Stegostoma tigrinum: one gene and its partner. The protein of the gene in region 2 binds, or shares a complex with, the protein of the main gene of each other region. Links are inferred from orthologs where the notes say so. Each region holds a gene or a part of one and is shown on either strand. Other genes may lie near its edges.

Region 1 (16,864 bases), on a different chromosome or scaffold from region 2:
TGCCTCTGCTAAGAACCCTGATATCGGAGATCCCGTGGGTGTACCGTTGGTTTGTCTGTAGGTTTTGTTATTGAAAGTGAAGTGGGTGGTAAGGCATAGGTCCACTAGCTTGATGATATGTCCTTGCTGATGAGGTTGGTGGTGTCGGCTGTATGTGTCTTTGGTTCTTCTAATAGTGTCGTCAGTGTTTCTTTGGCCAGGTTGATGTTGATGGATGTGAACAGGGCTGTTAACATGACTCCTGTGTATCTCTGGGCTGACAGTGTTTACACAAACACATTTTGAAACTGCTGCCTTTATCTACATTACAATCCCTTTGCTGTCTAGCTTCACTTGTTCACACTTATCTTGGAGTAAGGCTCTCTCTCACTTTCTTTAGTTTTGTAACACCATTACATTAATATAATTACAGATTACTGAATACAGCTCCCTAACGTTTGCAACATCTCTCATCTATTCTCATCTCTGCTGTCTGACAGTAAAATAACAAGTTATGATCATCATCATTTGATATTTCATTATACTAAGCCAGAAGCTCTGGGTTCTAGGGCACACAGTGGCTCAAGGGCAGTACTGCTGCCTCACTGTGCCAGGGATCCAGGTTCAAGCTACCTTCTGGTAATTGTCTGTATAGAATTTGCACGTTGTCCCCGTGTCTACATGGGTTTCCTCCATGTGCTCTGGTTTCCACCCACAGTCCAAAGATGGTTAGGTGGATTGGCCAAGCTAAGTTGCCCCATTGTGTCCAGAGATATGTAGATTAGGTGAGTTAGTCATGGCAATAATGCAGGGGAATTTGCTCTGTGTGGAACGCTGTTTGGACTTGATGGGCCAAATGGTCTGCTTCAACTCTGTGGGGATTCTATGATTCTATCCCACCCAGGATTTGACAGCCAAGGAGGGGATGATCAGTAACAATGAGAAAAAAGATTGATTGTCAACCTACTGATCCTTCCCACAATGTCAGTAGCAGGTAGTCTGAATGTGAGAAATTCGTGGACGAACATGTGATAGAAAGAAATGCAATGACATGCATGTAAAAACAGAATTATGCGACAGAAACTTGGTCTCCAGTGTGAACTGCAACACACCAGATCTCTAGTTATTTTACAGAGTATTCTGATCCTTCAGTCATGTGGACTGCCTGAGAACTCATATGAATCAACCACAGACTTCTTATATTTGGTGTAGAAAGGCAAATATTCAGCTGATGTCCCTTTCAACAGGTCTTTCAGTTAGATAATGAATTAGAGGAATTTTTTAAAAAATATAACGAACTTGTTAAGAATTTTCTTTGGAGACTGCATTGCTTTCTGTTTTGGAATTTTCTTAGGATAGATTAACTGAAATAAATGTTGTCTACCCACACTATTAATTTATGCAAGTACACCCACTCCAATCATTCATTCACTGCTGAGTGATTGAAGTCTTTGAACTGAATGCGTCATTTAAAGATATGGTATAAATGCATGTTTACTTGAGCTGTGGTGAAGCTGGAAAATACTGACATATTGGTTAATCAGTTGTTTTAAATTTAGCATTGTAAACAAGTGGCCTTTCCATTAGATGGTTATATGGTATGTTTTTGAAATTCTATAAAGGAGAAAGGTTGCTGAACTATATTTAGAAATGTGACTTTTATGTAATGATTAAATCTGTGATATTGTTTTTTGAGCTGTAGAAGGTGTGTATTTTGTATATTATTGTGGTAATGTGTCATCTTTGTACCCCTTATTGCTTGAAGTAAACATACTATGCCGTGTTATCATGCTATGTGAAAATTTTCATACTCCCAGAGGCTGTTTCTCATGTGGACAATGGGTTGTGCAAGTTATTTACTGATAAGAGCTTTATAACTAAAAGCTCTTTACCTAATGGACTTCTCAACCAAGAGGCAGTTAACTATGGGAGCAAGCTCTTTAAGGCAATTCATGGGACAACTGATCACTTATACAGTCAAACTGGCTAAATGTCTGACCAGGTTTGGTGTCCCTGTCTTGGACTACAGAGTCTGGGGTAAGTGCCATCTGTTCTAGACATTATGATGTGTCTAATCAGGTGGATTTAAAATATTTTTAGGGGTAAACAATTGGATATCCTGTGGAATGTAGAGGCAGGCATTTCTGATTTACTGCTTTCTAGATGTTCTGGGGTAGAGGAACAAAGAGATCTCAGATCACAAATACACCAATCACCAAAAGTTATGCCACAGGTTAGCAAGGCTATACATAAGAAAACTAAGCATTAGGATTTATTTTTCAGAGTATAGAATTGAAAAGCGGGGAAGTTATACTAAATTAGTATTAAGCTTTGGTTAGATGATACTTAAGGGTGTTGCATACTGTTCTAGTTACCACATTATAAAAAAGAATATTGAGGCATTGGAGAAGATGCAGGGAAGATTCCATTGCAAATTCAAAGAAAACCTCTTTACTGAAAGTGTGGTGAGAATGTGGAAATCGCTACCATAGGGATAATCAAAGTGAATAGTGCGGGTTGATTTTGGAGAAGGTTAAACAAACAAAGGAGGGATAAGGAATCGGGGGATGTGCCAGTGGATTATATGAGGAAAGACAGGGGGAAGATCCCGTCCATCATAAAAGCTGAGATCGATGCAAATATCGATGACTGGAGGTTGAATGTTTGCATGGTGAATATATACTAGGCTGATACAAGGTATGGAGAGACTGGTTATGAGGACAGATTGAATGGATTGGATGTGTACTCTTTGTAATGTAGAAGATTACAAGTAACATGCAAGATTCTAAGGGAATTTGTAGGCTAGATGCCAAAAGGTTGTTGCCCATTGAGAGAGTGTAGGACGAGAGGGCTTGATCTCAGAAAATGAAGTCAAATATTTAAGACAGAGGTGAGAGGGAATCTCTTCTGTTAGAGGGTTGTGCGTCTCTGGAATTCTTTACTGCAGAGGGCTGTTGAGGCTAGGTCATTAGTATATTCAAAGCTGAGATAGAAGATTTTTAATCAATAAGGGATTGACAGGTTATGGGGAAAAGGCAGGAATGTGGAGCTCAGGATTATAAGATCATCTGTGATTTCATTGATTGACAAAGTAGACTTGATGGCCAAAATGGTCTACTTCTGCTCCTAAGTCTTACAACAGGCTGTGCTTCTACATAACCTGAACTGGTGTCGCTTTCTGCTGAGCCTAAGACTATTATGTTGGATTTTTTTTCCAAAACTGTGCTGCATTTCTAACTAAATCAGCTGGGAATATAGCGCATTCTATTCAATGATGATGGAATATTCTTTGGAAATGTAAGGACTGATGAGGGATTGTCAACATGGCATGGTGCGTGGGAAATCGTGCCTCATGAATTTGATTGAGTTTTTTGAAGAAGTGTCAAAGAAGATTAATGAAGGCAGAGTAGTGGAGGTTGTCCAAATAACTTCAGCAAGCCATTCAACAAGGTTCCACATGGTAGATTGGTTACTAAGGTTAAATCACATGGAATCCAGAGAGAGCTAGCCACTTGGATACAGAATTGACTTGAAGGTAGGAGACAGAGAGTGATGGTGGAGGTTTGTTTTTTGGACTGGAGGCCTATTGAAGCTGCTGAATGTGGTGCCAATCGAGTGGACTGCTTTATCCTGAATGGTGTCAAGCTTTGTGAGTGTTATTGAAGCTGCACTCAGCCAGGCAAGTGGAGAGTATTTTGTCACACTTCTTTCAGGGTTTAGATATTTCAGGTGAGAAAGCAGGGGATGTAAAATGGGCAGAGGACTTGCATTACTGATTAAGGGGAATACGTTGGGTATTTTCAGCACTTTCTGTTGCCACATTCTAAAATAAGCTATGCTAATCATCATTCAACTCATAATATGGCCCACTGTCCACTTAAGAGCCCATATTAATCCTTGCAATTTGTCTAATTTACTCGTGTGAAAATGGGGTTTCCTTGGAGTTGCAGTGACTCCGATGATGATTTTCTGGGTAAAGGAAGTTTGGAAACTGTCCCTGTCTGGTAGTTTTAATAATATAACGCCTGACCCAGTCACGGCTAGTTAATGTCAGTAATGGTAAATTGAGAGGCAGACCCCTTACGTGGTCAGGATTCTATCCATAGGGATTCAACTTCACAATGGTTTGGTGTCAGTTCAGTTGATCAGTTAATGACAGGCTTTTTAACTTGGGAAAGTGCTCTGCCTCTAATCAAAGAAATAATTCACACTTAACATCAGAAACAAAGGAATGAATACAGTTGTAAATTTCTGAGTTAGTTTGGTTTGGAGTTTATTAAACATGACTCCATTTGTAGAAAAGGAGCTTCATGTTCTCACAAACTTGCCGAGATATTTGCACCAGTGACAGCCACAAATGAAGTGCTGAAAAATGTGGTGTTATTATTGAAGAAAGGTGGTAAGGAAAAGCCAGGGAACTACAGACTGGTGACCCTGGCTTCTATGGTGGAAAAGTTGTTGGAGGAGAATTCTGATGGACATATATTTAGAAAGGCAAATACTGAAAAGGGATAGTCCACATGGCTTTGTGCATGGAAAATCATGTCTCACTAACTTGATTGAGTTTTTTGAAGAAGTGATGAAGATTAATGAAGGCAGAGCAGCAGACATTGTCTATATGGACTTCGGCAAGGTATTCAACAAGGTTCTGCATGGTAGACTAGTTAGCAAGGTTAGATCGCATGCAATCCAGAGAGAGTTGGATATTTGGATACAAAATTGACTTAAAAGTAGGAGACAGAGAGTGATGGTAGGGGTTTGTTTTTCAGACTGGAGGCTTGTGACCAGCGGTGTGCCACAAGGATCAGTGCTGAGTCCACATCTTTTTGTCATTTTATATAAATAATTTGGATGTGAATATGGGAGGAATGGTTAGTAAGTTTGCAGATGACACCAAATAGGAGGTGTAGTGGACAGTGAAGAAGGTTACCTCAGGTGGAACTGAATTCTGAGGAATGGTCACCGGGCCCGAAATGTTAACTCTGTTTTCTCCTTCACAGATGCTGGCAAACTTGCTGAGCTTTTCCAGCAACTTTGTTTTTGTTGTTGTATAACTATGATGTTGGCTGGAGGATAAATATTTGTTAAGACACCAAACCCCTCTACTCTGAATTTGTATCGTGGCATGTTTCATACAAACAAACTTGTTTAACATTCCATTGAAAAAGACAGTGCTTCCAACAGTGCAGTGTGCCTACACTACTGTACTGGAATGTCAGCGAGATTTTCTGCTCCAGTCCTTCAAGTGAGGTTTGAATTCACAACTATCTGACTCAGAGGCAAAAGCACTACATAAATAATCAAGGCCATGGCATTAAAGTCATCAAACTTGCTGTGAAAAAGATACATTTGTCATGGACTTTGATGTAAACTTGAACTTTCAGATTCTTGTTTTGGAATCTATAAGGTTTCAGTGGTGTTGATATCAACAGCTCTTTCAGTGTGGCACTTCCTGTCCAGTTGGACATTTTCTCTAGAACCTCAAATGAACTCTGCATGCTGAGTGCCGGTTTATGGAACACAAACTAGTTTTAAAATGGTGCAAAGAAAATTTAAGCTGGAAGTCTCTGAATTTCTAGTAAACAATCTTTTGTGAATGTAAATCTGAATATAAGATTGGGGCAGTGAGCCAGACCAGTCTTTATTCTTGAACTAAAATAATAATCCAATGTTTTCTTTAAATTGCAGATTGTTTTGATATTTCCATTCAACTAAGTTCTAGGAGACCAAGTGTAGAAAACATGAGTGCTGAAAATAAAAAGCAACTTGCATCTGAAGAGATAAGTTGGGCCCATTTATTAGAGTTTCCACAGTGTATTACCTTGCTGTATGCTTGTAAAAAGGGAGACAGATGAACTGCCGTCATTTATTGATCAACCAGATACAAACTCCATCTTTCCATCGTAATTTCCATTGTTTATTTTAACCTAGCAGAGTAATGGGTGACCTAATTGTGGTGATTAAGGGATTTGAAAGGAAGGTTATTTCCCCCTGGTGGAGAAGCCCAGAACAGTAGGTCATAATGTTAAAATTAGATTTGGGGATGAATGCTTAGAAGCACTTCTTTATACAAAGGATAATGGAAGTTTGGAACTGTCTTCCCCAAAATCCTCTTGATGCAAGGAAATCATTTAGGCATTTCAAAACAGAGAATGATAAGCCAAAAGAGATAGTAGGAACTGCCGAGGCTGGAGAATATGAGATAACACAGTGTGAAGCTGGATGAACACAGCACGCCAAGCAGCATCAGAGGAGCAGGAAAGCTTGACGTTTCAGGTCACACTGTGTTATCTATGATAAGCCAAAAGTTTTGTTCCAAAATTTTGGTGGGTACATTAATTTTTCCTACACTTAAACATGTAATTAAACCATTGTCTAATTGGTAGAATGTGCTTAAGGACCTGCTCCTTTTTTTAGGGTAACAAAAATAGGATGGATTTGTGAAGAGAGATCTCGCGGTTCAGTGGGTAACATCTCTATCGCAGGAGCAGAAGCTCTGGTTTCAGTCCCACTCCAGGATTCATAACCAAGAAAGGTGTATTCAAAATGTGGCCAAACAGTTTCAGTACTAACTTGTAAATCCATCCAACACCAATGGCAGGTGATCAGAGTGGAAGAGATTCCTGGTCAGCCTTGTGAATGGATAGAGATCTTCCACCACGTTACAACAGGGAGACAGACAGCCGAACTAAATATCTCTGAATTCACAACACTGTAGAACTAAAACCTTCGAAGACCCCTAATAGTTATTTCAGTAGTTCCTAACTAGATTTTTGAATAATCAATCTCAGACTTTAGGTATAATTAATTTCAGATACCAGTTCTACATTTTAAACAAAAGACGCAACAATTTATTATATAACTTCAGCAGAGAAAATGTAAAACAAGGTAGTCTATGCCTATGCTTTAAATTTTAATATTAAGTTAAAGATTAATATGCTTTAATCCCAAAACATTTGTTTTCAGCCCCCATTCACACAAAATTCAGACAAATGAACATGGTTAAGAGGATAACTAAAAGAACATCACAAAACTGGCCAAATTACTTAAATGGCTTCACAATGTGTTTTTTCACAGGCATAGATGTAAATTCCTTTGCTGCTTTTTTGGAGACATCAATCAGGGTCATGTTTTCAGTTCACTCAGGTAAAGACAGTGAAATTTCTAACTCAGCTTTTTACTTTTTGGGCTCCTGAAAACCGTGAAGGGAAGTTTGGAATGGAGTTTTCAAATCTTCATGCTGTGTCATCAACAGCCACCCTTAGAGTCATACAGCTCTGAAACAGACCCTTCAGTTCAACCAGTCCATGCTGACTGTAATCCCAAACTAAACTAGTCCCACCTGCCCATTGCTTGACATATATCCCGCCATACCTTTCTTATTCTTGTACTTATATAAATGTGTTTTAAACACTCTAACTGTGCCTGCATCCACCACTTCCTCTGGACGTTCATTCTGTACACGAATCACTCAGTATAAAAAAAATTGCCCCCATGTCTTTTTTAAATCTTTCTTCTCTGACCTTAAAAATAAGCCCCCAGTCTTGAAAACACCCACCATAGGGATAAGACACCCACCATTCACCCTACCTCTATCCCTTATGATTTTAAAAACCTTTACAAGGTCACCCCTCAACGTCTTACACTCTGGTGAAAATCTCTCAGCCTATCCAACCTCTCGTTATAACTTAAACCCTCCTCTTCCAGCAACATGCTAACAAATTTTTTCTGATCCCTCTCCAGCTTGATAAATTCCTACCTATAAGAGGATGACCAGAACTGGACACAGTGCTCCAGAAGAGGCCTCACCATTGTCCTGTACAACCTCAACATAATGTCCCAAATCCTGTATTCAAAGGTCAGAGCAATGAGGGCAAGCATGCTAAGTGCCTTCTTAACCATGCTGTCTACATGTGAGAGATAATGGGAACTGCAGATACTGGAGAATCCAAGATAATAAAGTGTGAAGCTGGATGAACACAGCAGGCCAAGCAGCATCTCAGGAGCACAAAAGCTGATGTTTCGGGCCTAGACCCTTCATCAGAGAGGATGCAAACTTCAAAGAACTATGTCCCTGTACCCTTAAGTCTCTCTGTTCTATAGCACCTCCCAAAGGCCTACTTTAATTGTATAAATCCTGCTCTTGTTTGTTTTACCAAATGCAATAGCTTGCATTTGTTCAAATTAAACTCCATCTGCCACTCTTCAGCCCATTGACCCAATTGATCAAGATTTCTTTGTAACCTTAGATTACCTTCTTTATTGTCCACTGTACCATCAATTTTTCTTCCAGAAAACACACTTCAACTCTGGTCCCACCCTGATAAACTGATTGTCTTTTCCTGGCACCTCAATTACATTCAGTATCTGATACCAGCTTGAATATCTCTTCCAGTCTTGCTGGAACCCATCCCATTAATAGCAAAAGTTGGTTATCTGTTCAAACACAATGCTCTTTCCAGGTTGCTGTGACTATTTGAACCCCTTAAGTAAAGAACAAACCTGCGATTAGGCTCCAGGCCTGGCCTTACAAACAAAAACTTTTTTGACCTCTTTTCCTTTTACCACAAGCTGTTTCCCAAAGCCCACAGGGCATATTCAGCTCCCAATTCCCAGTTCAGGGCTCCAAGCAAAAATTGACAACGGAATAAAAATAATGAAAAACCAGTGAGGGTTCTAACAACCATCACTGCCTGTAGCTTCAGGCTAAAATATGCAAACGAAAATGTATGCAACACTGACTCCCCTGGGAGGAAAGGGTGTGGATCAGATTGTTCTAATAGCACATGCTTCAACGCCTTTTCTGGTTGGGGACCTGCCTCCTTGCCCCAAGCACGGTGTGGAGATTGTGGCACCCAGAGTCAGACTTGATTGGGGCAAAGTTTAAGTAATTCTGAAATGCTTTCTGCCCAACCCACACTCCTGCCATTGGTCATCCTATTTATTCATCTGAACCATAGGTCTAACCTCCATGGTTAACTGGAAACAAACAGACTGTTAAGTGACCCCCCCCCAACAAGGATGATGACTGACTGCCTCCAGCCTCCCCCACTTTCAGTATATATTTTTATATCAGTAGGGGAAAGAATGTAAAAAAAACACCATGTGCGGCAGATGAATCCCTGGAGACTCCTGGCGGGTTGGTACCCCCAGATCAGTGTCAGTTATGGTTCACGCCTAACCAAGGAGAAGGGCTCGGTTCGATGACTGACTGAGTGTCAAAGCACAGCGGGCGGATGTGGTGCAAGATTCCTGTTAAACAGCGGAAACGGTAGCTCGAACCGTTTATTAGTTTGCCCTTCAGATTAAGCCTGACATCCCCAGCTCGGAGACAAGATGAAAGCCCATGAAAGGAGCCCCTGAGATTGCAGCCGGTAAGGACCCACCTCCTGAGCCAGGGAGCTGCTCTCTTTCCGTCTCCAGTTCCTGAAAACATCTAACTGTACTTGCAGCAATCTTCTGCAGCGCAAGTTACTGCATCTAATAGTTACTAAAATGGCTATTAATTTCAATGAAAAATATATATTCGATCTCGGGTGACTTTTAATTAAGGTAGTCTTTAATGTAGAAACCAGATCAGTAAAGTAAGTAATTCACAATTTGAAACATTATGCGTGTCTGTGAGAACATATACTGTATAATGTCTGTCCAAAGGACTACACTCTGCAACTTTCTAATTGCACTGGCCGAGCGTGCGATTGCGACGAACTGTCCAATCCGCCAAGATCCGAATTAAAGTGAATTCGATTCGGATCCCAATCCTAATTGCGGTTGTCTTTGGAAAGGGATGCTTCAATGGCCAGTGTGTCTGTTTATCTTTAACCTGATTCCTATATACTCAGGAAACTGCCTAGGAAGAACATTTCCAGTAACACTATACGGGAGGTGCGATTTCAGGGCAAGCGACGATCGAATCTAGCTATGAAATGTGTAGATGAACTTAAACACAGACCCAGAGAGGCAGGCCAACGGAATCGTGATCAGCTGTTGCAAACCCCTTTATATTTTTTTTAAAGCACGAAGTTTCCAAGGTTCTCAGCGAATATTTTCTGAGTTGCTACCTTTTCTGGTGTTCGCTGCATAACTTAAGAACAGATCCGGACTGACTGCAGTTCAAACAGCGATAGAAGGAGCTGTATGTTAAACTCAGTCATTGTCTTCTTGAAGGTCTTCCTGGCGTCCGTAGAGCTCGGCAGAGCCAGCAAGGTAGAAATACTTCTTTAAAAAAATTGTCTAGGGACATTGAGAAATTATATTTTGATGCTGCATCAGGGTTTTGGCTTCATGTGGAAGTTGAGGACCAGTCTCCCACTGATTCAGATCTTTTGAAATCACCTTTAAACATTTTAGAAACAGTTTTTGAAAATGGTCATTTAGAAGTTGCACCTTGTTTGCAATTCACAGCCATCTCAAATGCATCATATAATAGCCATTTAGCATCTGTGCACTCTCTCGTTTTTTGACCACAAGTCTCATTTCTGCTACTTTTGACTTATTTTAAAAACAAAGTCTTTGGGATGTGGGCATCACTGGAAAAGCCAGCATTCATTGCCCATTCATAGAAGCTCTGGAACTGAGTGACTTGCTGCACTATTTCAGAGAACAGTCAGCCTCGTTACTGCTGTGGATTTGGATTTGCCCGTAGGCCAACCTGGGTAAAAATGGCAGATTTCCATCTCTAAAGTGGTGAATCAGATGCTACTTGATCACTAATATAACAAGGCACGGAGCTGGCTGAACACAGCAGGCCAAGCAGCATCAGAGGAGCAGGAAGGCTGGTGTTTTGGGCCTAGACCCTTCTTCTTGATCACTGATAGTTTCAAGGTCAGCTTCAGTGATTCTAAATTTTATGAATTGAATTTTAAATTCCACCAGCTGGCATGGTGGGATTTCAGCTTGCATCCCCAGAGTATTAGGCTGGGCCTCAAGATTACTCACCCACTGGCATTACCTCTATACCCCCCCGTCTACCCCACAAGGAAAAGTAATTCTAATTAGCAAAGTCAAACTGCAAAGGATAGGAACAGGCGGAGGACCATTCTGTTCCTTATTTTGTTCTATCATTCAATTACATAATTAACCTTTTATTCCCAGATGTCCTTCCGTAACACAAATAAACATTGGAAACATTGCACTCTCGCTTCTTAAATATTGCTTATATTGTCCCAGTTAAGTCCTTAGGAGTCTCAAGCACAGCTTCAAGTCTCACCATCTCCCCAGCACCCTTCTCAGACTGTTATCACCGCACATTGATAATGGCTTGGAGGTCATCCCCCTGGCTAGCATTTGTGCTGTGGGAATGGATAAGTTTCCCAAGAACTAAATTCCTGTAAATGAAATGAAAGAAATATGCAAGGCTTCAGATTTTCAAAGATGGCTCTCAACGTGGGTGGCATGGAAAACCAGTGTTTATAGCCCAGATCCTATGCATCATTAATATATTGAATCACTTGTGTTGGGCAAGAACGAAGTCAGATATCAAGCAGACCAGGTAAGGGTAACTGGTTTCTAAGCAATGTGAAAGGGGAGAAAATGGAATTATAGACCAGTTAGTCTGACATCCGTTGTTGAGGAAGTAACCTGAGTCTGTATTTAAGATTAGGATGACAAGCTGATTGATGTGATGGACAGTGCACTGTCTATGGAATAATGAATCAGGATTTGCAAGAGGCATTTGATAAATTTCCTCACAGAGACTGAAGAGCGGAAGTTAAAACTCCCAGAACTGAAGGAAAATTATTGAGCTACTTGGGAATTTGCCTGAGCTATGGGAAACAGTAGAGGCAATGAAGTAGTCAGTGTCAATGGCAGGATGTGACTTGTGGTGTCCCACAAGGATCTGTGCTGTGAACTTTTCGCTGTTTATTAATGACTCTGTTAATGGATTACAGAGCCACAAATTTCTGTTTGCTAATGAGAAGGAATTAAGGGACGTTGTAAACCGTGGAAGTAGAAGCATAATGTATGTATAATTTTAATAATGTATGTATAATCTTAAAACAATGTCAAAACTGTGGCAAATGGATTTAAATGTTGGTAAGTGTAAAGTTATTCACATTGGACCTAAAATGGAATATTTGTGAATGGTGAAAAGCTGGGTACGTTGGACATCCGAAGGGACCTGGGGCCCAAGATCATTAAAATGTTGTGAATGCTTTGAGAAAATAATCAAGAAAGGTTAATAGAATGCTGATCTTTATATCTAGAGAATGAGTATTTGAGACAATAGCATCATGTTTCTCTGATTAGGCCACATCTGGAGTACTGAAAGCAGCTCTGGACACCATAGTTTAGGATTGATATATCTGTTTTGGTCCACAGGTAGTACAGATTTACTCAATGATATTTGAACCCCAAGTGTTAAATTATGATTTAATATTTTCTAAACTGTTGGGAATTTAGGTTAATTGACAATATGATCAACATTTTCCAACATTAAGGGGAACAGATAAAATCAGTACTTCTGCTCGGCAAACAGTTGAGGACCTGGTATCTCACTCCTGTTCCTTCTTCCTTCCCTGAAAGATATTATTGAACAATTTGGATATTGACAGTGACTTTTAAATCTTCACGGTCCATTGTTAATGCCATTAATAAATTATTGGTGTATTTGAATTCGATTCTGCCGTTTCACATATTAGTCTTTAAATTTGGAACTTCAGTATTGTTTGAGTAGCAAGAGGCTCCTGTACTCTAATTGCTTCAGGAAAGAATGGAACGTCAGTATTTCTGTTGTATTTTGTTATTGCTGTCAGAAATGTTGCTGAGTTTAGAAACGAGAATAGAATAATCCAGAGACCCAGATAGAATTCTGGGGACCCGGGTTCAAATCCCACCTCGGCAGATGCAGGATTTGAATTCAATAAATATCTGGAATTAAGAATCTAATGGTGATCATGAGCTGATATCCTCACCTGGTCTGGACTACATGTGACTCCAGACCCACAGCAATGTGGTTGACTTTGAACAGCCCTTTGCAATTAGGAATGGGAAATAAATGCTGCCTGGTCAGCGACGCCCTCATTCCGTTAATTAATAAAGAAAAAAAATTACCTTGGTGCTGTTGGGAACAGGACAGGATTTCGATAGCTTGTGTTGCCAAACCTTTCTCACCCCTTGTCTCATGCCACCCTCCACGCTGCAGTTGATAGTGCCCTGCATTTATTCTGTTTATCCTTCTGCAGTGCTTGTTGGGTTAGTAGCTTCCTTCGTAAATTGGGAGTAAAGATAACTGTATGGTTGGGTGTCATTTCTTGTTATGCCCTTCTAAAGATAAGTGGTTAAAGTGATAATGAAGATTACTTCCAATGAAGTGTTAATGAAAGAGATAATGTAGAATAACAAGCTACCATTTTTCCAAAGCTCTCACCATGAGGCAGACTCATTGGTTCTCCCTTACTATTCAAGAGGGAAGTATTATGTAGGGGAAAGTGGAGTAAGGTATGAAGAAGTCTAAATGTAATTCCTATCATAAATTAGTTTGAAGTTTGCTTACTCATAGCAATTTTTTGTTTTGTATGGCAAGCTGCCAAAATGCAACAGTGAGTGAAGTTACACTGGAGTACAACAATTGTTAGATTATAAAAAATCACAGCCCATCTAGTTTTCTGTCTATCATTCTGATAATAGAGTTGTTGACTACTACAGCAGTTGTTCTCAATCAGTTAGTCTGCAGAAGATTCAGATATAATCTGAAGAGGCTCTCAGTGGGGAAGAATTGTAGAAATCTATTTTCTCCAAACAAATTTTGGGGTAGCCAATGGTGTAGTGTTACTATCACTAGAATATTAATCCAATGTTCTGAGGACCTGGGTTGGAATCCCGCCATGGCACATGGTAGAATTGGAATTCAACAATAACCTGGAGTTAAAAATCTAATGATGACCATGAATCTATTGTCGTTTGTCAGCAAAAACCCCATCTGGTTTAGGGAAGGAAATCTGCCATCCTTACTGATCTGACCTATGTGTGACTCCAGACCCACAGCAATGTGGTTGACTCTTAACTATCCTCTGGGCAATTAAGGATGGGCAATAAATGTTGGTCCAGCCAGTGATACCCAAATCCCATGAATGAATTAAGAAAAAGAAATTGCACCCGACCGCATGACACTGCTTGATTTGTTTATGGCCATGGCATGTGTTCAAGAATAAACCAAACCATATTTTAAAATCATTAACATTTTGTTTCAGGAAGTTTAGTGGTACTGTAGGCTTAATAAAAACACACCATTCCATAGCAGAAAGGGCAAGATCTGAAACCCTGTGCGCTAATGGGACTGGAGCAACAAATCAAAATTGTGCACAGCACCACTGCTCCCTGGTGAGCTGAGATATATTTTTGTGAAACTTCAATTTTTTCAGTTTGTTGGAGAGATTAGAGAATCATTATGACAGAGACATGGAGTCAATAGAGGAATTCACAGTTGTGACTGTGTTGATAGTGAATAGGAAGAAACTGTTTCCAACAGCAGGAAGGTCAGATACTAGAAGGCACGGATTTAAGATCATTAACAACAGTACCAGCTGGCAGATAGAGGAATTTCTTTTAGATGGAGAGTTGCTGTGGTCAGGAATACACTGCTTGAAAGTGCAGTGGAAAGTGTTTCAGTCATAACTTACAAAAGGGAGTTGGATCTATACTTGAAACGGAGCAATTTGCAAGGCTATGGGGAATAAGCAGGGGATTGAATAGCTCTTTTAAAGGATTGACACAGACACAAAAAACTGAACGCCTGTGTGCTGTACTGTATCGTGCTTTTGAACTGTAGATTATGTAAGTCAAGTGACTGGGTTAGAGCTATTCACGGATCCAACATCCACAACCTGTTGGGAAAGAGTTCTGGGTTTCTTCAACCCTTTATCTGGAATAAAAGTACTCCCTGATTTCACTTGACACCTAGTTGTGATTTTAGATATTTTCTAATCATTCTCTTTAGAGATGTTATTATGCACTTCTGCAGCAGATGGGATTTGAAACTGGCCGAGAGGTTGCTTGTAAGGTTGTGCACCCCCTTGATATGCGGGAGATTAATGTCACGGTGTACAGAGCCCAATCAGAGAACGGGGTTGTGCATGATTTGGTGTTGTATTTTTCTCAAAGTCATCAATAACTCAAAATATTCTCTGACTTTCACAAGGGCAAACCATCTGGCACTGTAATAATGCTTAAAGATTTGTATGGCTCCTTCTTTAAGATATAATTTTAGTTATAGTGTGCAGAGTGAGCTGTTAGAAGGACAATACAGTAAAACGTGGAAATGGTGGTTCTGGTCCAAGCTTGTCTTATATACCTTAATATGGGATTCCAGTTCAGCTCTGTCCAGTGACTAATAGTTCCCAGATATTTATTGAGTTTACATCCGGATCAGTAAATGTGAGTACAGGTATTTATGTGGCTTTTGATTCATTTTGCCCTTCTAGGGTTTTTATTTGTCACTCCTTTTTAGGCATAATGGCATTTTCTCTTTGAGCAAGTTACGGTGCTCAAAGTTACAGCATTCGTAGAATCGCAGAATCCGTACAATGAAGAAGCAGGCTATTTTGCCCCCATCGAGTCCATACTGAGCATCCAAGGAGCATCCCATCTAGACCCACCCACCCTACCCTATTCCTGTAACCCCACACATACCACGACCCACCCACCAAGCCTGCACATCTCTGGACACTCTGGGTAGTTTAGCATGGCCAATCCACTTAACCTGCATATTTTTGGACTGTGGGAGGAAACCAGAGCACCCAGAGGAAACATGGGCAGACACGAGGAGAATGTGCAAACTCCACACAGAGGGCAGAATCACACCTGGGTCCCTGGTGCTGTGAGGCAGCAGTGCTAACCACTGAGCCACCGCGCTGCCCAAGTGGAGAGCATTCCTAGATTGTGTCCAGGAGAGATTCTTGTACCTATATGTGTCCAGGAGAGCTTCTTGTACCTATATGTGTCCAGTCTAACAAGAACGGAGGCACTGCTAGACTTGGTTCCTCAGAATTAAGTGAGCCAAATAGATCAAGTGGCAGTGGAGTATAATAGATTCATAGAATTACATTGTACAGTAGAGACCCTTCAGCCCATGAGTCTGCACTGGAAATCTGCCATCCTTGCCTGGCCTCGCTGATGTGTCACTCCAGATCCACAATAATGTGGTTAATTCTTAACTGCCTACTGAAATGGCCTAGCAGGCTACTCAGTTCAAGGGGCAGTTAGAATGGGCTACAATTGCCAGCCTTGTCACCTACACCCACATACCCAAAACAAACCCTCTGACCAAGGAGACAAATTCTATTCTGTCTATTGCCTGGTTGCAGATGTGTAAATATTACACCAATGCATGTAAATTACAGGCTAAATAAACCAATTGATCATTTTTAATCCTTTGATTTTGAAGGTTTGTATAATGTGCAGTATTCAAAAGGGCATTAACAAGTTGAGGCAGTGGGCAGAACAGTGTCAGATGAGATTCAGTGTAGACAAGTGTGAGATGGTGCATTTTATTCAAAAGAACATTTTCGTTCAATATAAAATGGGGAGTCTGATTCTAAATGGGTTGTGGCACCTGTGCATATATTTGCACAGATCATTGAAGGTGACAGGTGGAGAGAGTAATTAATAAAGTATGCAACATTTTCAGTTTTATTATTAGGAGCAAGGAGGTGATGTTGCATTTGTACAAAACACTTGTTAGACTTCAGCTAGAGTATCATAAATGGTTGTGGGTGTCATATTCTCGGAAGGATGTGAACTCATTGGAAAGAATGTAAAAGCGAAATACTAGAGTGATTCCAGAAATGAGAAACATCAATAATGAAGATGGATTGAAGAAGTTGGGACTGTTTACTTTGAAGAGAAGAATGCTGAGAAGAGATTTGAAAGAGATTTTCAAAATTAT
Region 2 (16,817 bases):
GCCACCAGACTACTTTATAAAGTTAAAGTTGTTATTGTTCCACAGCCCATAGAGCTGATAGCTCATTAGAGAGATAGAGAGAGAGAGAGAGAGAGAGAGAGAGAGAGAGAGAGAGAGAGAGAGAGAGAGAGAGAGACAACTGATGGTGGCTTAACCTGATGATCACTACACTTCAAGTGAGGGGAAAAATTGAGAAGGAGTGTCCTTCATGGTGACCTCAGCCAGTGTGGGAACTGAACCTGCCCTACTGACATCACTGCATCACAAACCAGTGTCCACCCAACTGAGCTAACCAGTGGGCCAATTTACCAGCAGAAAAGTTAGAATCCTCTCACCAAGAGGTTAATTCTGCCACTAATGTAGACAATTAAAGGCACGATCTCAACAACTCTGGCATTTTACTAGCAGCATACAGGGCTTCTACCACATGGGGTGCCTTGGTATATCATAAGAAACTACAGAAAGTTGTGAACACAGTCCAGACCATCACACAAAAGCAAGCTTTCCATCCATTGGCTCCATCTACATTTCTCAATATCATGAAAAGATAGCCAACATCATCAAATACCCCTCCCACCCCAGTTATATTCTTTTCTAACCTCCTCCATCAGGCAGTAGATTCAAAACCTTAAACATATATACCAATGGGTTCAAGAACAGCTTTCAAGAACAACTTCTTCCACCTGTTATTGGACTTCTGGGTGGACCTCTCAAATTTGAAATCTAATGCTGATCTTGCTTTATGTACACCTTTGTTGTAGCCTTATCTTTGTATTCACACTCTGTTCAATCACCCTATGATCTTTGTATGTTATGATCTACCTGTACTGCATGCAAAACAAGACTTTTCACTGTACTATTTCTAATGACCGCAATAATCTATGCCTGTGTTAGAATAAGGCAAAATATTGAAGCTAAGACAGTGAATGATCATTTGACCTTTGAAAACCAAAAGATTCCAGAGTAAAGATCTTTCTTACCATTGATTCCTTTTCATCACAATAAAAGAATATTGAAGATCCTCGTAACTCTGACCAGTATCTTTGGAAGGTCTGTTAAATAGATAAGAAAACAAATCATTGGGAGGGGAAGAACAGGCTTCATGTTTTCTCATTATATTTTGTAGAACTGTAGAAATACAAATGGTTACAGCACAATAGGAGGCCATTCAGCCTGTTGAACTCATTCTGCCCTTAATAACAGCAACTAATTTGGTCCTGCTTCTCCTCCCTTTCCTAAATCCCTACACTTTCTCGCCTTCAGATGTTTTCTAATTTTTTTTTGAAAGCCCATGACTGAATCCATCTGTGACCCTTTCAGATACTGCATTCCAAATTGCAATCGTTCACTGCTGTCTTTCCTTAAGTTGTTTCTTTTGTCAAGGAATATCAATCTGTTTTTGTTGATTCTAGACCTCTCTGACAATGGAAACAGATTCTACCTACCCTGACAAGATCATTCATAATTTTTGATGCGTTTGTCAAATCTTCTCTCATATTTCTGTGTTCAGGAAGAGAATACCAGCTCCTTCAAACCATCTTTAAGTATTTCTAACTGTTCTTAACTCTTTTCTGCACCATTTCTAAGGCTTTCACCACAGTCTTAAAGTGGCATGCCCAGAATTGGACATAACAGCCCAGTTGATGCCATACCAGCTTTTTGTGAAAAATCATTAGTCTTTGCTTTTCTACTCTATTTATAAGGCCCAGCTTTTTAAAAAGCATTTTCTTAACCTACCGTCATTTTGTTTTTAAAAACATGTACGTACATTCTGCCAGGTCTTAAGTGCACACTTTGAAATTGTACTCTTTATTTGATACTGCCTCTGATTATTTTTTTTCCCCACAATGCATAACTTCATGTTCTTACCATGTGACCAAACTATTCAACCAGCCTTTTATGTCCTCTCCAAGCCAATCACTAACTACACGTCCTCCCACCCAACCTCCTGCAAAAATTCCATCCCCTGTTCCCAATTCCTCCGCCTCCGCCGCATCTGCTCCCACGATGAGGCATTCCACTCCCGCACATCCCAGACGTCCAAGTTCTTCAAGGACCGCAACTTTCCCCCCAGTGGTCGAAAACGCCCTTGACCGCGTCTCCCGCGTTTCCCGCAACACATCCCTCACACCCCGCCCCCGCCACAACCGCCCAAAGAGGATCCCCCTCGTTCTCACACACCACCCCACCAACCTCCGGATACAACGCATCATCCTCCGACACTTCCACCATCTACAATCTGACCCCACCACCAAAGACATTTTCCCATCCCCACCCCTGTCTGCTTTCCGGAGAGACCACTCTCTCCGTGACTCCCTTGTTCGCTCCACACTGCCCTCCAACCACACCCGGCACCTTCCCCTGCAACCGCAAGAAATGCTACACTTGCCCCCACACCTCCTCCCTCACCCCTATCCCAGGCCCCAAGATGACGTTCCACATTAAGCAGAGGTTCACCTGCACATCTGCCAATGTGGTATACTGCATCCACTATACCCGGTGTGGCTTCCTCTACATTGGGGAAACCAAGCGGAGGCTTGGGGACCGCTTTGCAGAATACCTTCGCTCGGTTCGCAATAAACAACTGCACCTCCCAGTCGCAAACCATTTCAACTCCCCCTCCCATTCTTTAGATGACATGTCCATCATGGGCCTCCTGCAGTGCCACAAAGATGCCACCCGAAGGTTGCAAGAACAGCAACTCATATTCCACTTGGGAACCCTGCAGCCCAATGGTATCAATGTGGACTTCACCAGCTTCAAAATCTCCCCTTCCCCCACCGCATCCCAAAACCAGCCCAGTTCATCCCCTCCCCCCACTGCACCACACAACCAGCCCAGCTCTTCCCCTCCACCCACTGCATCCCAAAACCAGTCCAACCAGTCTCTGCCTCCCTAACCTGTTCTTCCTCTCACCCATCCCTTCCTCCCAGCCCACGCCGCACCTCCATCTCCTACCTACTAACCTCATCCCATCTCCTTGACCTGTCCGTCTTCCCTGGACTGACCTATCCCCTCCCTACCTCCCCAACTATCTTCTTTTCTCTCCATCTTCGGTCCGCCTCCCCCTCTCTCCCTATTTATTCCAGAACCCTCACCCCATCCTCCTCTCTGATGAAGGGTCTAGGCCTGAAATGTCAGCTTCTGTGCTCCTGAGATGCTGCTGGGCCTGCTGTGTTCATCCAGCCTCACATTTTATTATCTTGGATTCTCCAGCATCTGTAGTTCCTATTATCACTAACCCCCTCAGTTCACTTTACCATATTTCGAAGGTTTATGTCATCTCCAGTTTTGAAATTGTGTTTTGTACACCCAAATCTGGGCCATTAATGAACATCAAGAGAAGCAGTAGTCCTAATACGAATCCTGGAGAACCTCATTGTATACTTTCCTCCAGTCTGAAAATTAACCATTCACCATTACTGTCTGTTTTTTTGTAAAGTTCTCACCTTTATCATAGATGGTGCTCAAGCATTAGCCATCTTGGAGACTGAACTAGTTGCATTCTAAGTAAATCATGGATTAAGGGGGCTTCATTTTTATAGAAGGAAACTCAATAAACTTTTGCAAATATCCTATGACAACTGCGTTGTCTATAATCTTGTTTCTTATTTGAAATTATCTACAATTTGCTAATGAGGTTTCTTCAACTCATTATATTTTAAAAACCAAAAGAACTGCAGATGTTGTAAATCAGGAACAAAAACAAAGTTGCTGGAAAATCTCAGCAGGTCTGGCAGCACCAGTGAAGAAAAAAAAATCAGAGTTAACGTTTTGGGTCCGGTGACGCTTCTTAAGAACTGAGGAACCGAAACGTTAACTCTGATCTTCCCTTCACAGATGCTGCCAGACCTGCTGAGCTTTTCCAGCAACTTTGTTTTTGTCACCATATTTTAAGTTTGTTCTTTATTTAGCATTTATTCAATTTCAAAATTATCATTCTTCTACTTGCCTCCAAAGTGCTTAGGACTGTGGGTCAACACAGTCACAGAAGACCAGTTCCTTTAAACTGTGCTATTTATATAAGTGTACGTCTTTTGTTGTGCATTCGGTATTAATCTGGTACCAGGCACTCGATGGTGGTTGAGAACCGCGTGTTCCTCAACAATAACAATAAGTTATGTTCACACAGTGGGTTTTAATGTATAAGAAGTGCTTCATAAGAGTATTATAAAGCAAAATCTGACACCGAGCCACGAAAGGAAATATTAAGATGAATCACTGATTGCTTAGAAAAAGAACTAGGTTTTAAGAAATGTATTAAATGAGAGAGAGAGAGAGAGAGAGAGAGATGAAGAGGGAAAGAGTTTACGGAGGCACTTCCAGAATCTGGCTTAGGCTGTTGTAGGCACAGCCACCAACCATTCACCAATCAAAATTATGGGCGCATAAGAAGCCAAACTTTGGCCGAAATCGTTCAGTTGGGAGAACGTTAGACTGAAGACCTAAAGGCTCCCGGTTCAATATCCGGTTTCAGCAAAATAAGAAGTTTCTTTCCGCATCAGCACTCATTTGAAGGGGCCTCTTGTGGCGCAGTGGTAGTATTCCTAACGAGAGACTCAGGTTTAAGTCTCACCTTGTGTAGCAACACGTTGATTAGGGGAGAAATCGTTTTTTTTCTAAAAAAAATGCCAAACAGTTTTCCTGTGGTGGCTCCTACAGATAGGTGGAGTAATGCCTTCGTGGGATTTGGAAGCAAAGATGAGAATTTTAAAAGTGTAGAGCTGGATGAACACAGCATGCTGCTTGGCCTGCTGTGTTCATGCAGCTCTGCACTTTTGTTATCTCCAGCATCTGCAGTTCCCATTATCTCTGACAATTTTAAAACATCTCTGACAGTCAGGAGTTTCTGAGCTCGGCTCACAAGATGCTCCGGAATAGCGACTCCAAGGTTTTGTTGTCGTAAATCTACGGGTAGAATCTTACCACCATTGACGACTCCGTGTTTGGGTACAAAAACATGCCTCAGTGCTGTTAGTGCTGTCTGCATGATCTTACCAGAGGCAAACAATTAAGAGGCCATATCTGTGAACGCTATCCAATTAAAAATGGTGAGTGGGATAAGCACCCAGTTAGTAGCGAGTTTTGAGAAGATTTGTAGCTCAGGTTGAGGTTCCGGATGTGAGTTTGCTCGCTGAGCTGGAAGGTTAGTTTTCAGACGTTTCGTCACCATTCTAGGTAACATCATCAGTGAGCCTCCGGTGAAGCGCTGGTGTTACGTCCCACTTTCTATTTATCTGTTTCGGTTTCCTTGGGTTGGTGATATCATTTCCTGCGTTGGTGATTCAATAGAAAGCAGGTCCACTGTCAGGTGGACCCCAGTGGACTTCAGACTGATCACCCAACAACAGTAATTCAATGTTTACTCCTGGATACACCTTCAAGCTTGCTTTCATGTGACCAGGAGTATTTCACCCTATGGGTTTTTAAAAAGAGATTTTGGTCCCATTTATCAAGGTTTTGTTAAAGAATAAACGTCTGCATTTCCAGTTAATCTGCTTTAACTGCAAATACAGACTGTTATTGCTTAAAAAAAACCTTGATAAATGGGACGAAAATCCTTTTCTTTTCAGGCAGATCTTTTTCCCCTCCAGCAGCAGCTTTGCAAAGAAATTGTCCTGCAAGAGCAAAATGAGCTTGCGACAGAGAAGATAACAAAATGTGAAGCTGGATGAACACAGCAGGTCAAGCAGCATCTCAGGAGCACAAAAGCTAGGCAAAAGGGCCTAGACCCTTCATCAGAGAGCTACAGTGAAGATCCAGGTTGTCCCAAGGATCTTGTGGAAAACCGGCATTATACAAGACCACTGGCAACTTGAAATTGGGTCTTTTGTTTGACCTCCTAGTTTGAAACCCTCGAGGCAGCAAGGTGAGTGGAAATTATAGAAAGGAATTTTACAAATATACGTAGAAATTGCTGACATTGCTTGTGATACAAAACTCAGCACCCTATACCTTGAAACGCAGCCAGTGCTATCTATTTAATCTCCCTTGTTCCTGCTGGTCACATCGAATGCTGGTGTTCAAACCCCTCAGACGAAGCACAGGTCTTTGACCTACGGAGTTCCCATTTTGTTGCACCTTTTAACTAATAAATGCTAATTTCTAAAACTTGAGTTAATAAATAGTGGGCGACTTTACCTGAGGCTTAATTGAAAGAAAATACTGGATTTCAAACAGTACTTTTGTCACCGCTCCACCTCCCGCTGAGTTGACCAGCAGGAAATGTAGAAGTATTTCATTACCACGGGCTTCACAGTTGCCAGTTTAAGTTTGTGAAATTACTAACAGTTCAAGTTCACAAATGAAATGATAAATATAAAAAGCAGTGCATGTTGGTAATAATGAACCCTTTCTCCAGTTATATTGCAAAGCTGCTGGAGACAAAATAATAGGGTACTTGAAGCAGGAAACCTCAACGTTTTGAACACGAAGTGCCATAATTTTCAAGGCTACTACTCTAGTATGGGGAAGTGGGATTAGTGTAGGTAATGGCATATTTTTATCAGTACAGGCATGATGGGCCAAAGGGCCTCTTCCATAGCGAAGAATTCTATTTTCTACATTTAAGTAATTCATAACAGTAATTTTTTAAATAGCAATATTTATCCCGGTATGTTCTCACTAAACTTTGCCACTTCTCAAACAGCTTTCATCCTTTAATTTTCTTCAGAAAATCTTGAAGCCGTCAGGTAGGAAACTTTCCAATAACTAGACTTTCAAAGGAGTACTTTAACACTTTCTACAGCGCTGCCGTTCCTTCAGAATTATCGACGTTTAAAACGAACGTAATGTAAGTCTGCAGAGAGATACGCGGATGTCACCTACCTTATCCTTCGAGCTTTTTTTCCATAGAACCCCATCGTAATACAAAGGCAGAGAGGTAATCTTCTCCCGTCTTTGAAAGACTTGCCTCAAGTTTGTCCTGGAAGCTGCCATTTCTGTGTTTAAAAAACGTGATTACTCTTATCTATTAACGATGAGATGAAGCAATAAGTGTCCACGCACGCTTACAGCTTGGAGCGGCTGTGCCGTTGGACTGTTCCACTTCTAATCGATGTAATAGCCAGAGGGAGAGAACCGAAAGAACAGGACCCAGTGAGAACATTACCCGAGTCATTCTCATATATTTGCTATAGACTGGAATCCAGCAGGAATGAGGAAATTATTCAACGAGGAAAGTAGATTATCAAGTGTACGTGACATAGAAGAGATATATTCCTCTACCAGGCAAGAGCGTCTAACAGAGGGAGGGAAAGTTGCCTGCGGTACTGATTATTTTAATGTAGGTTGGTTTAAGGATGTAAAACAAAAGCAGAAATTTTTGGCGAAACCACCAGGTCTGTCAGCATCTGTAGAGAAGAAACCAGTTAACGTTTCGCATCCAGAAACTCTTCAGAACGTTCCAGCAATTTTTTAAAGACCTTCAGCATCTGAAGTTCTTTGTTTTATGTTATTGAATCACAATATAGATGTGTTGGAGGCGATTCTGAAAGGGTTTACCAGACGTAACACATGGAATGGGGCAGCCGGGACAATCTTGTCTTTTCTTAGCTGGAGTTTAGAGGAAGGCTGTGAATTTCCTCAGTAATTTCTATTTTAGTTTCAGATCTTCAGCATCCACAGTTCGTTTATTTTTTTTTGAGGTCTTAACAGGTCACTTGATTGAAACACAAATCTTGAGGGGTCTTCACAGGATGGATGCGTGGAGGTGTGTTCTTTTATAGGTGAATCTGGAACACAGCCACTTTTTAAAAAAAAATTCAAGGATTGCCCTCGAGAACAAGGATTTTGTGACTTTCGTTCTGAGGTTGAACAGTCTTTGGTACAGTCTTCCTGAACGGGCACGGGAAGCAGAATCCTTGATTTTTTTTAAAGGTAGAGTTAGATGGATTCTTATTAAGCAAGAAGTTGAAAGGTTATCGGGTAGACGTGAATGCAAATTTAATTTTACAATCATATCAACCATAATCTTATTGAATGGTGGAGCAGGCGTAAAGGGCTGAATCGCCTACCCTTGCTCCTGATTTTATGTTGTTGGTAAGTGCCAAGAAAAGTAAAAACACACCAGACGGAAGAGCACGGAACTTTTAGGGTCCTTGGAGGCATGTCTATTGGAAAATAGCCAAAACACCTATGAAAAAGGAATAGTAAACTTCAGTCATGTACAAAGAAAGAGTCAGTGATAATCTTTATTAAGAAAAGATTTTATAGGACTATGCTGATACATATGCATTGTTTCAAATGCCACAATTACAAACTTAAGCTCTTAAAAAACATAAACACATGCAAAACACAGACATAAGACCATCAACATAGAACAGTCGGTTTTACACTAACTCCCCTGGAAATTTCCCCTGGAAACTCCCATGGACACACTAAAGAAAATATACTGTATTGTGAGTAAAGTTTTCTTTAAACCTTATTTCTTTGAACATCTTAAAAAGTTTGAGTGTGGATTTAAACATTGTGTATAAATATAAAGTAGAATAATGATGATATGATATATTCTGTGATACTGTAATCATTCCTATAAAGTAATCCAGAATTGGTTCTTACAAGATAATAAAGTGTGGAGCTGAATGAACACAGCAGGCCAAGCAGCATTTTAGGAGCACAAAAGCTGATGTTTCGGGCCTAGACCTTTCACCTTTTCTGATGGAGGGCCTAGGCCCGAAACGTCAGCTTTTGTGCTCCTACGATGCTGCTTGGCCTTGCTGTGTTCATCCAGCTCCACACTTTCTTATCTCGGATTCTTCAGCATCTGCAGTTCCCATTATCTTTGGATCTTACAATATATGTTTTAAAACTCTTATTTAAGAAGTTGTAATTTCAAATTTAATTCCTCTTAAACACATCTCAATAAGAATATTTTAAATCCCTAAATTATGATTCTAAGTTGCTGATATTGTTAACCTTGAAAAACAATGTTCCTGTTTCAATACACCAGAGATATATTCTACCACAAGATAATTTTGTTGATTTGAAAACTCCAGAGGGGAGGATATTTCATTACAAGACCCAATCTGAAGCTGATAGAGCTGTCTAAATTCCTTCAATAATCTGAAGTTTTTCCTAGTTGATGTTTTAAACTGATGGTTTAACTGGGTAGGTTTACCTAAGGGTGAGGGTGGGGTGGTGGAGATTAATAATTAATTCATCTCTCTTTTGGCATTGATTCAAAGTCTTTCTTTGGAGCTGAGCACTTATTGGTTCTTGCGATATTGCTCCACACTGATAAGGCAGCATTTATCACCTGCCCTGAGTTGCCTTGAGGTCATTTACAAGTTCATCACTCAGTATGGGTCTGAAGCCACATGTAGATTTGTTTGGCCTCCCTTCCCTAATGGCATTTGTGAATTGAATGTTTTTTTAAATGACAACACAAACACATTTTTGTTATTTTCATTTGTGTTTATTCTCAAATCACCATAATGATTTCAATTACATAATGACCAGCACCATAATCACTAACAACAATTATGTAGTTGGGAGTATTAACACCTTTTCCAATCATTCATTTGTATCTTCAGAGGTGATCTGACTGTTGCTTTTAAGAAGTTACCACATGGATATTTCTTGCCTGGGCTCATCAAGATGTGACCAAGAAGTCCCAATACAATGTAACCAAGCAGTGCACTGAGCAACACTCTTCAATAACATAATTATATTCAAAGTCTGATTATTTTCAATTAGAAATTTTCCTTTGCATCAAACAAATGTTTTCTTATATTAAGAGTAAAATCATATCCTCTTGTGTGACCATCAGCTAGTTTTTATAAGTGGCACTGTAAGAAATTAAGTGTAGAGAACCAATTTTTTTAAATTCACTCATATGATGTGGATGTCGCTGGTTGGTTTAGTATTTATTGCCCATTCCCTGTTGCACTTAAGAGGTAATGGGAACTGCAGATGCTGGAAATTCCAAGATAATAAAATGTGAGGCTGGATGAACACAGCAGGCCAAGCAGCATCTCAGGAGCACAAAAGCTGACGTTTCGGGCCTAGACCCTTCATCAGAGAGGGGGATGGGGGGAGGGAACTGGAATAAATAGGGAGAGAGGGGGAGGCGGACCGAAGATGGAGAGTAAAGAAGATAGGTGGAGAGGGTGTAGGTGGGGAGGTAGGGAGGGGATAGGTCAGTCCAGGGAAGACGGACAGGTCAAAGAGGTGGGATGAGGTTAGTAGGTAGCTGGGGGTGCGGCTTGGGGTGGGAGGAAGGGATGGGTGAGAGGAAGAACCGGTTAGGGAGGCAGAGACAGGTTGGACTGGTTTTGGGATGCAGTGGGTGGGGGGGGAAGAGCTGGGCTGGTTGTGTGGTGCAGTGGGGGGAGGGGATGAACTGGGCTGGTTCATCCCCTCCCCCCACTGCACCACACAACCAGCCCAGCTCTTTCCCCCCCCCACCCACTGCATCCCAAAACCAGTCCAACCTGTCTCTGCCTCCCTAACCGGTTCTTCCTCTCACCCATCCCTTCCTCCCACCCCAAGCCGCACCCCCAGCTACCTACTAACCTCATCCCACCTCTTTGACCTGTCCGTCTTCCCTGGACTGACCTATCCCCTCCCTACCTCCCCACCTACACCCTCTCCACCTATCTTCTTTACTCTCCATCTTCGGTCCGCCTCCCCCTCTCTCCCTATTTATTCCAGTTCCCTCCCCCCATCCCCCTCTTTGATGAAGGGTCTAGGCCCGAAACATCAGCTTTTGTGCTCCTGAGATGCTGCTTGGCCTGCTGTGTTCATCCAGCCTCACATTTTATTATCTTGCACTTAAGAGGTGTTGAGTTGCCCACTTGAACCACTGCAGTCGACATGCTATATGTTGACTCACAATGCCCTTAAAGAGGGAATTCCAGGAATTTGACCCTGTGACAGTAAAGGAGCAGCAATATATTTCCAAGTCAGGATCGTGAGAGACTTGGAGGGGAACTTACAAGTGGTGATGTTCCCATGTATATGCTGGCTTTGTCCTTCTAGACAGAAGTGGTCATGGGTTTGGAAAATGTTCTCTCTGAATCTTCAGTTAATTTCTGCAGTGCATCTTGTAGATAGTATACACTGCTGCTACTGAACGTTGGTGCTGGAGGGAGTGGATGCTTCTGGATGTGGTGCCAATCAAGCAGCCTACTTTGTCTGGACAGTGACAAGCCTCTTGAGTTTTATTGGAGCTATACCTATTCAGGCAAGTTGGGAGCATTCCATCACACTCCTGACTTGTGTCTTGTAGATTGAGAACAGGCCTTGGGGAGTCAGTAGATGAGTTAATCACTGCAGTATTCCTAGCCTCTGACTTGCTTCTGTAGCCACTCTATTTAGGTGGTAAGTCCAGCTGAGTCTCTGGTCAATGGTAAACCCATTGACGTAACCCTAAGGATGTTAATATTGGGGAATTAGTGATGGTAACATCATTGAATATGAAGGGCAGTGATTAGATTGTCTCTTATTGGAGATGGTCTTTGCCTGGCATTTGTATGGCATGAATATTACTAATCACTTAGCAGCCCGAGCTTGGATATTGTCCAAATCTTGGTGCATTTGAGCATTAACTACTTCAGTATCTGAGGAGTCTAGAATGGTGCTGAACATTATGAAATTCAGTGATCATCCCTACTTCTGACTTTATGAATGGCGGAAAACAAATGAAGATGGTTGGGTGTCGGACACTACAGTGAGGAACGCTTGCAGAGATGTCCTGGGGCTGAGATGACTGACCTCTAACAAACATTATCATATTCCAATGTGCCAAGTATGACTCCAACCAGCAGACAGTTTGCTTCCTGATACCCAAAAATTCTGCTTTTTGCTAGGAGTCCTTGATGCCAGACTTAGTTGAATGCAGCCTTGATGTCAAGGCTGTCCTCCCACCCCACCTCTGGAATTCAACACTTCTGTCTTATGTTTAAACTAAGGCTGAAATGAGGTCAGGGGTTGAGTAGCCCTTGCAGAACACAAACTAAACATAACTAAGAAGGTTAGTGCTGCTTGGTAGGACTGTTGATGACATCTTCCATCACTTTACTGATGATTGAGAGGAGACTGATGGGGCAGTAATTGGCCAGGTTGGATATGACCTGCTTTTTATGGTCTGGACTTCCTTGGGCAATTTTCTACGTTGTTGGGTAGCTACCAGTGTTGTAACTATACTGGAGGAGCTTGGCTACAGGAGCTGCAAGTACTGGAGCACAACTCTACAGTACTATTGTCAGAATGATGTCAGGGCCAATAAACTTGCAGTATCCAGTGCCTCCAACCATTTCTTGATATCACATGGAGTGAATCAAATTGCCAAAGCCTGGAATCTGTGATGCTGGGGACCACTGGTAGAGCTTGAGACGGATCATCCACTTGGCACTCCTTGCTGAAGATTGCTGAAAATACTTCAGCCTTATCTTTTGCACTGATGTGCTGGGCTCCCCCATGAGTTCATTAATTGTCCACCACTATTCACAGCTGGAGGTGGCAGGACTGCAGATCTTAGATCTGATCCATTCGTTGTGGGATAATTTAGCTCTGTCTATCACTTGCAGCCTATGCTGTTTGGTATGCAAGTAGTCCTGTTTGGTAGCTTCATTGGGTCGACACCTCATTTTTTTAGGTATGCCTGGTGCTGCTCCTAGTATGCCCTCCCACAATCTCCATGGGACCAAGTTTGATTGCCTGACTTGATGGAAATGGTTGAGTGGAAGTTATACTGGATTATGAGGTTGCAGATTGTAATGGAGTACAATTCTGCAGCTGTTGTTCACTCACAATGTCTTGTGAATGCCAATTTAAGTTGCTAGATCTGTTCAAAACCTGTTGCATTTAGCACGGTGATAGAGCCACACAACATGATGAGGGCTATTCTCACAAAGGTGGGACTTCATCTTCACAAGGCCTAATCTAATAAATGAGGAGAACTGATAACCACTCAGCCCTATGAAATCTCTGAAAGCTACCAGAACAACATCTCTCTTGTTCCAACATTTAGAACTTTCTTGAGTCACACATTGTGACAATAAAACAATGATAAATTATTTGTGTCCAATGGAACATGATCAAATGGATCACCTTGTTATCTGGCACCAAAGGATTAAATATACTCATTAACTACGTGTAAATTTCCATGATTTTAAAAGTTAGATTTGATTGTGATTAGATTATACAGGGCATTTTGCAATTTGTCTTTGCTTCTATGGCATTAGCCTTGGCTCATTTGGTAATACGTCTGTCCTTGGTTCAGAGGTGCTTTTTTCAACTTGTGGGTTGTGACTTCAGCATGAATCCAGCTTCTCATTCCAAATCGATAGAGTGCTGCACTGTCAGAAAGATCATGCTTTGGAGGAGACATTCAGTTGAGATTCTCTGGTCCTTTTATACAGACATTAGACATCCACATCATTATTTTGAAGAAGAATTAAGAAGTTTCTCTGGTGTTCTTATTTATCTCTCAAATGCTATCACTTAAACCTGTGATCTGGGCTAATACTTTTTTGTTTGTGGAACCGTGCTGTGAATGAATTAGCTCCAATATTTCCTCATATTACAAATGCTACAAGTGTGCTTCAGCAGCTGTAAAGCACTGAGATAAATGGTGATATAAACATGCATGTCTTTTTAATTTAATCACTGATACATTACAATTCCATAAAATGAAGAGTTTTTCCAGAGTATTCCATGTTTCTATGGTAATATGTGAAATGCAATATGCTCTAAAATTATTACAATTCATGGGCATGTAGACATTGAGGACACTTTTGAACGTTCCAGTTAGCATTAGGCTTACTGGTTGGAAATTCTTTAAGCTGCTGAATGTTTGAGAGCTGAGATCCAGTCATTTTTCCTAAGCCATATGTATTAACGTTCTTACTTTGGTTATACCTTCATCCTGAATTGAACTTCAGTCATGAGAATCAATTGCACTGTGGCAGAACAGATGAGATGTTAAACCAAAGCTCTGCTTCCCCTCTCAAGTATAAATGAAAGATCCTGTGGTTGTAATCAAAGAAAAGAGCAAGGGAATTCACCTCGTAATCTATTCAACATTTATTCCTTAATGAATGTCTAAAACAAACCATTTGGTCAAGATTACAGTTTTGTTTGGGATTTTTATTTTTGTGGTCATTTTGGATGCTGCATTTCCCAAGTTATAACAATGACTACATTTCAGAAATGTTTCATTGTAATGTTCTAAGGACAGGAAAGACACCTCATAAATGAAAGTTTTTTTCTTTCTTTCTCAATTGGTAATTCGGTGTTCTTCTCAGGCAGTCCCTGGAGACCGGGGACAACTTTCTTTTGGTCCAGGTCAATGAAGTGATTTTGGTTTTCAGATGAAGATAAAGTAGGTTTAACCATTGCCCATTAGGTATTTAGACTATTCTGGCTATTCTAAATTTACTGAAGATGAGATGTAATACTGCAGTGAGGAAAATGGTGAAAATAATTAGTGCAATTTCACAGCTTTGTTTAACTCCAATTTTCACTGTGATAGGGTATGTGGTAATTCCGTTGTTGGGCATCATGACATGTATGTTATCATGAGGCAGGTGGAGGATGGCGACAATTTCAGACAGCAGAAAAAAATGTAAAAAGCTAAACAGAGCATTCTGGTGCCATTCCTGGATTTGAATTTTCTGCACAGTGACAACCATGTTTGTTGCCTCATGATGGTCAAAAACTGCATTGTGACTCTGGAAGGAGTTCTTTGCCAACTCCTGGCAGGCTGTACATCCTCATATCCCCCACATGAAAAGAAGAGCGAATGCTGGTGATCTCACGGATGTTGTGATCGTGATTATGTTCAAAAAGTCTGATTGTTGTAACAACAGAGGATTTGCCCTGCTGTCTGCCACAGGGAAGATAATTGCAACGACACTCCTCAACCACCTCCTCCTACTTAAGACCATAAGACATAGGAGTGGAAGTAAGGCCATTTGGCCCATCAGCCATGATTTAAATGGCGGAGTGGACTTGATGGGCCGAATGGCCTTACTTCCACTCCTATGTCTTATGGTCTTAAGTAGGAGGACACGGTTGAGGAGTGTCTTTGCAATTATCTTCCCTGTGGCAGAGAGCAGGGCAAATCCTCTGTTGTTACAACAATCAGACTTTTTGAATATAATCACGATCACAACATCCATGAGATCACCAGCATTCGCTCTTCTTCTCAGGTGAGGGATATGAGGATGTGCAGCCTGCCAGAAGTGCATCTATAACATGTTTGAGAATTTCAGCAGGGCTTCCATCTGCTATTGGGCTTTTGTTATTTTACAGATATCAAATAGCTTTTATAACATACCAGCTTGAAGCAGTAGACATCCAGCCATCAAGAACTAAATTGCACAGACTAGTTGGCACAGATCTTCAAATTAAAAAAAAATTAGATAACTAACATACTTCACTGCAACAGGAAACAGCTTAACAAGACCCTTTATATCTTACACAAAGAACGTCTTTGCTGAGTGGAAATGCATGTTGAGGACTCGGTCTTCTGAAGAAAGTAAATGAAGCTCTGGATCAGAACAATAGGTCAAATTTCCATCAAGAATTTCCTCAGCTCTGTCTGAGACTTGGTAAGCTTAGAAATGACTATCATATTACATTGCTTCAAGACACAAAGCTACGTCTAGAGTCTCTCATTGCTGTTGTACGTGAAAGATGAATTGACTTAAATGTTCCACAGTTGTGTTAAATCATAGAGCCAAGATATTTGAGGGTTTGTGATAGCTCCCAGACGAAATAGTGTGCTCATGTTTTGCATGAACCTGATAAAATCAAATAATGCAGTCCAGAGGGAAATGCATCCTAGGTACCCTTCTGCCAGGTGTCAATACTGTTAACAATGTTCATTATAGTTTTGAAGTGATTCTCCTTTAACTGTATTCCCTTTGGTACATCATTAGATACAGAGATATGCCGGTGAACCATATTGAAAGTTTCTGCAAGATAAAAAGAACTGTCAACAAGAGAGAAAAGCATATTTGATCTCAACCTTATAAATCTGCCGGCTGCAGTTGCATCTGTCCATGAGACTATTAGTAAGAGGGACCATCGCACAGTCCTTGTGGAGATAAAGTCCCGTCTTCACATTGAGAATAAATTCCATCATATTGTGCGGCATTATAACTGAGCTAAATGGGACAGACTTCACACAGATCTAGCAACTCATCCATAAGGTGCTGTGGGCCATCAACAGCAGCAGAATTGTATTCCAGCACAATCTATACCCTCATGGCCTGGTTTATCTGCCACTCAACCATTACCATCAAGCCAGGGGATCAACCCTGGTTCGATAGAGAGTGCAGGAGGGCATGCCACAAGCAGCACCAGGTATACCTGAAGATGAGGTGTCAACCTGGTGAAGCCACCAAACAGGCCTACTTGCATGCCAAACAGCAAAAGCAGCAAGTGATACAGCTAAGTGATCTCACGACTAACGGATCAAAGCTAAGCTCTGCAGTCCTGCCACATCCAGTTGTGAATGGTAGTGGACAATTAAACAACTCACTGGAGGAGGATCTCCACAAATATTCCCATCCTCAATGATAGAAGAGCCCAGCACATCAGTGCATAAGATAAGGCTGAAGCATTTGCAGCAATCTTCAGCCAGAAATGCCGAGTGGATGATCCATCTTGGACTCTTCCAGTGTTCCACAGCATTACAGATACCATTCTTCAGCCAATTCAATTCACTCCACGTGATATCAAGAAATGGCTGGAGACACTGGATACTGAAAAGGCAATGGGCCCTAACAGCATTCCAGCAATAGAACTGATGACTTGTGCTGCAGAACTTCCCGCTCCTCTAGCTAAACTGTGCTATTGCAGTTATA

Evidence for each region.
Region 1: the proteins of signal-transducing adaptor protein 1-like (region 2) and linker for activation of T-cells family member 2-like are in contact, whole or in part, in a crystal structure (PDB 3MAZ), measured with the Homo sapiens proteins. The link is inferred for Stegostoma tigrinum from reciprocal best matches to the Homo sapiens genes STAP1 and LAT2. Residues at the interface, in NP_001304698.1 of Homo sapiens: Arg184, Arg203, Pro204, Gly205, Ser206, Ser212, Ile215, Gln217, Ile219, Lys225, His226, Tyr227, Lys228, Glu239, Leu240, Glu241, Tyr255, Phe256, Glu259, Thr260, Arg261, Asn263, Leu264; in NP_054865.2 of Homo sapiens: Asn134, Ser135, Tyr136, Glu137, Asn138, Val139, Leu140, Ile141, Lys143.

The regions. Positions count from the first base shown.
Region 1 is NC_081380.1:5,372,324-5,389,187, forward strand, and holds the start of linker for activation of T-cells family member 2-like, read left to right. Parts: upstream 1-9,218; 5' UTR 9,219-9,325; coding exon 9,326-9,353; intron 9,354-10,124; exon of another isoform or gene 10,125-10,185; intron 10,186-16,864. UniProt on the Homo sapiens protein: Involved in FCER1 (high affinity immunoglobulin epsilon receptor)-mediated signaling in mast cells.
Region 2 is NC_081356.1:16,919,358-16,936,174, reverse strand, and holds the start of signal-transducing adaptor protein 1-like, read right to left. Parts: upstream 7,214-16,817; 5' UTR 6,940-7,213; coding exon 6,829-6,939; intron 1,053-6,828; coding exon 981-1,052; intron 1-980. UniProt on the Homo sapiens protein: In BCR signaling, appears to function as a docking protein acting downstream of TEC and participates in a positive feedback loop by increasing the activity of TEC.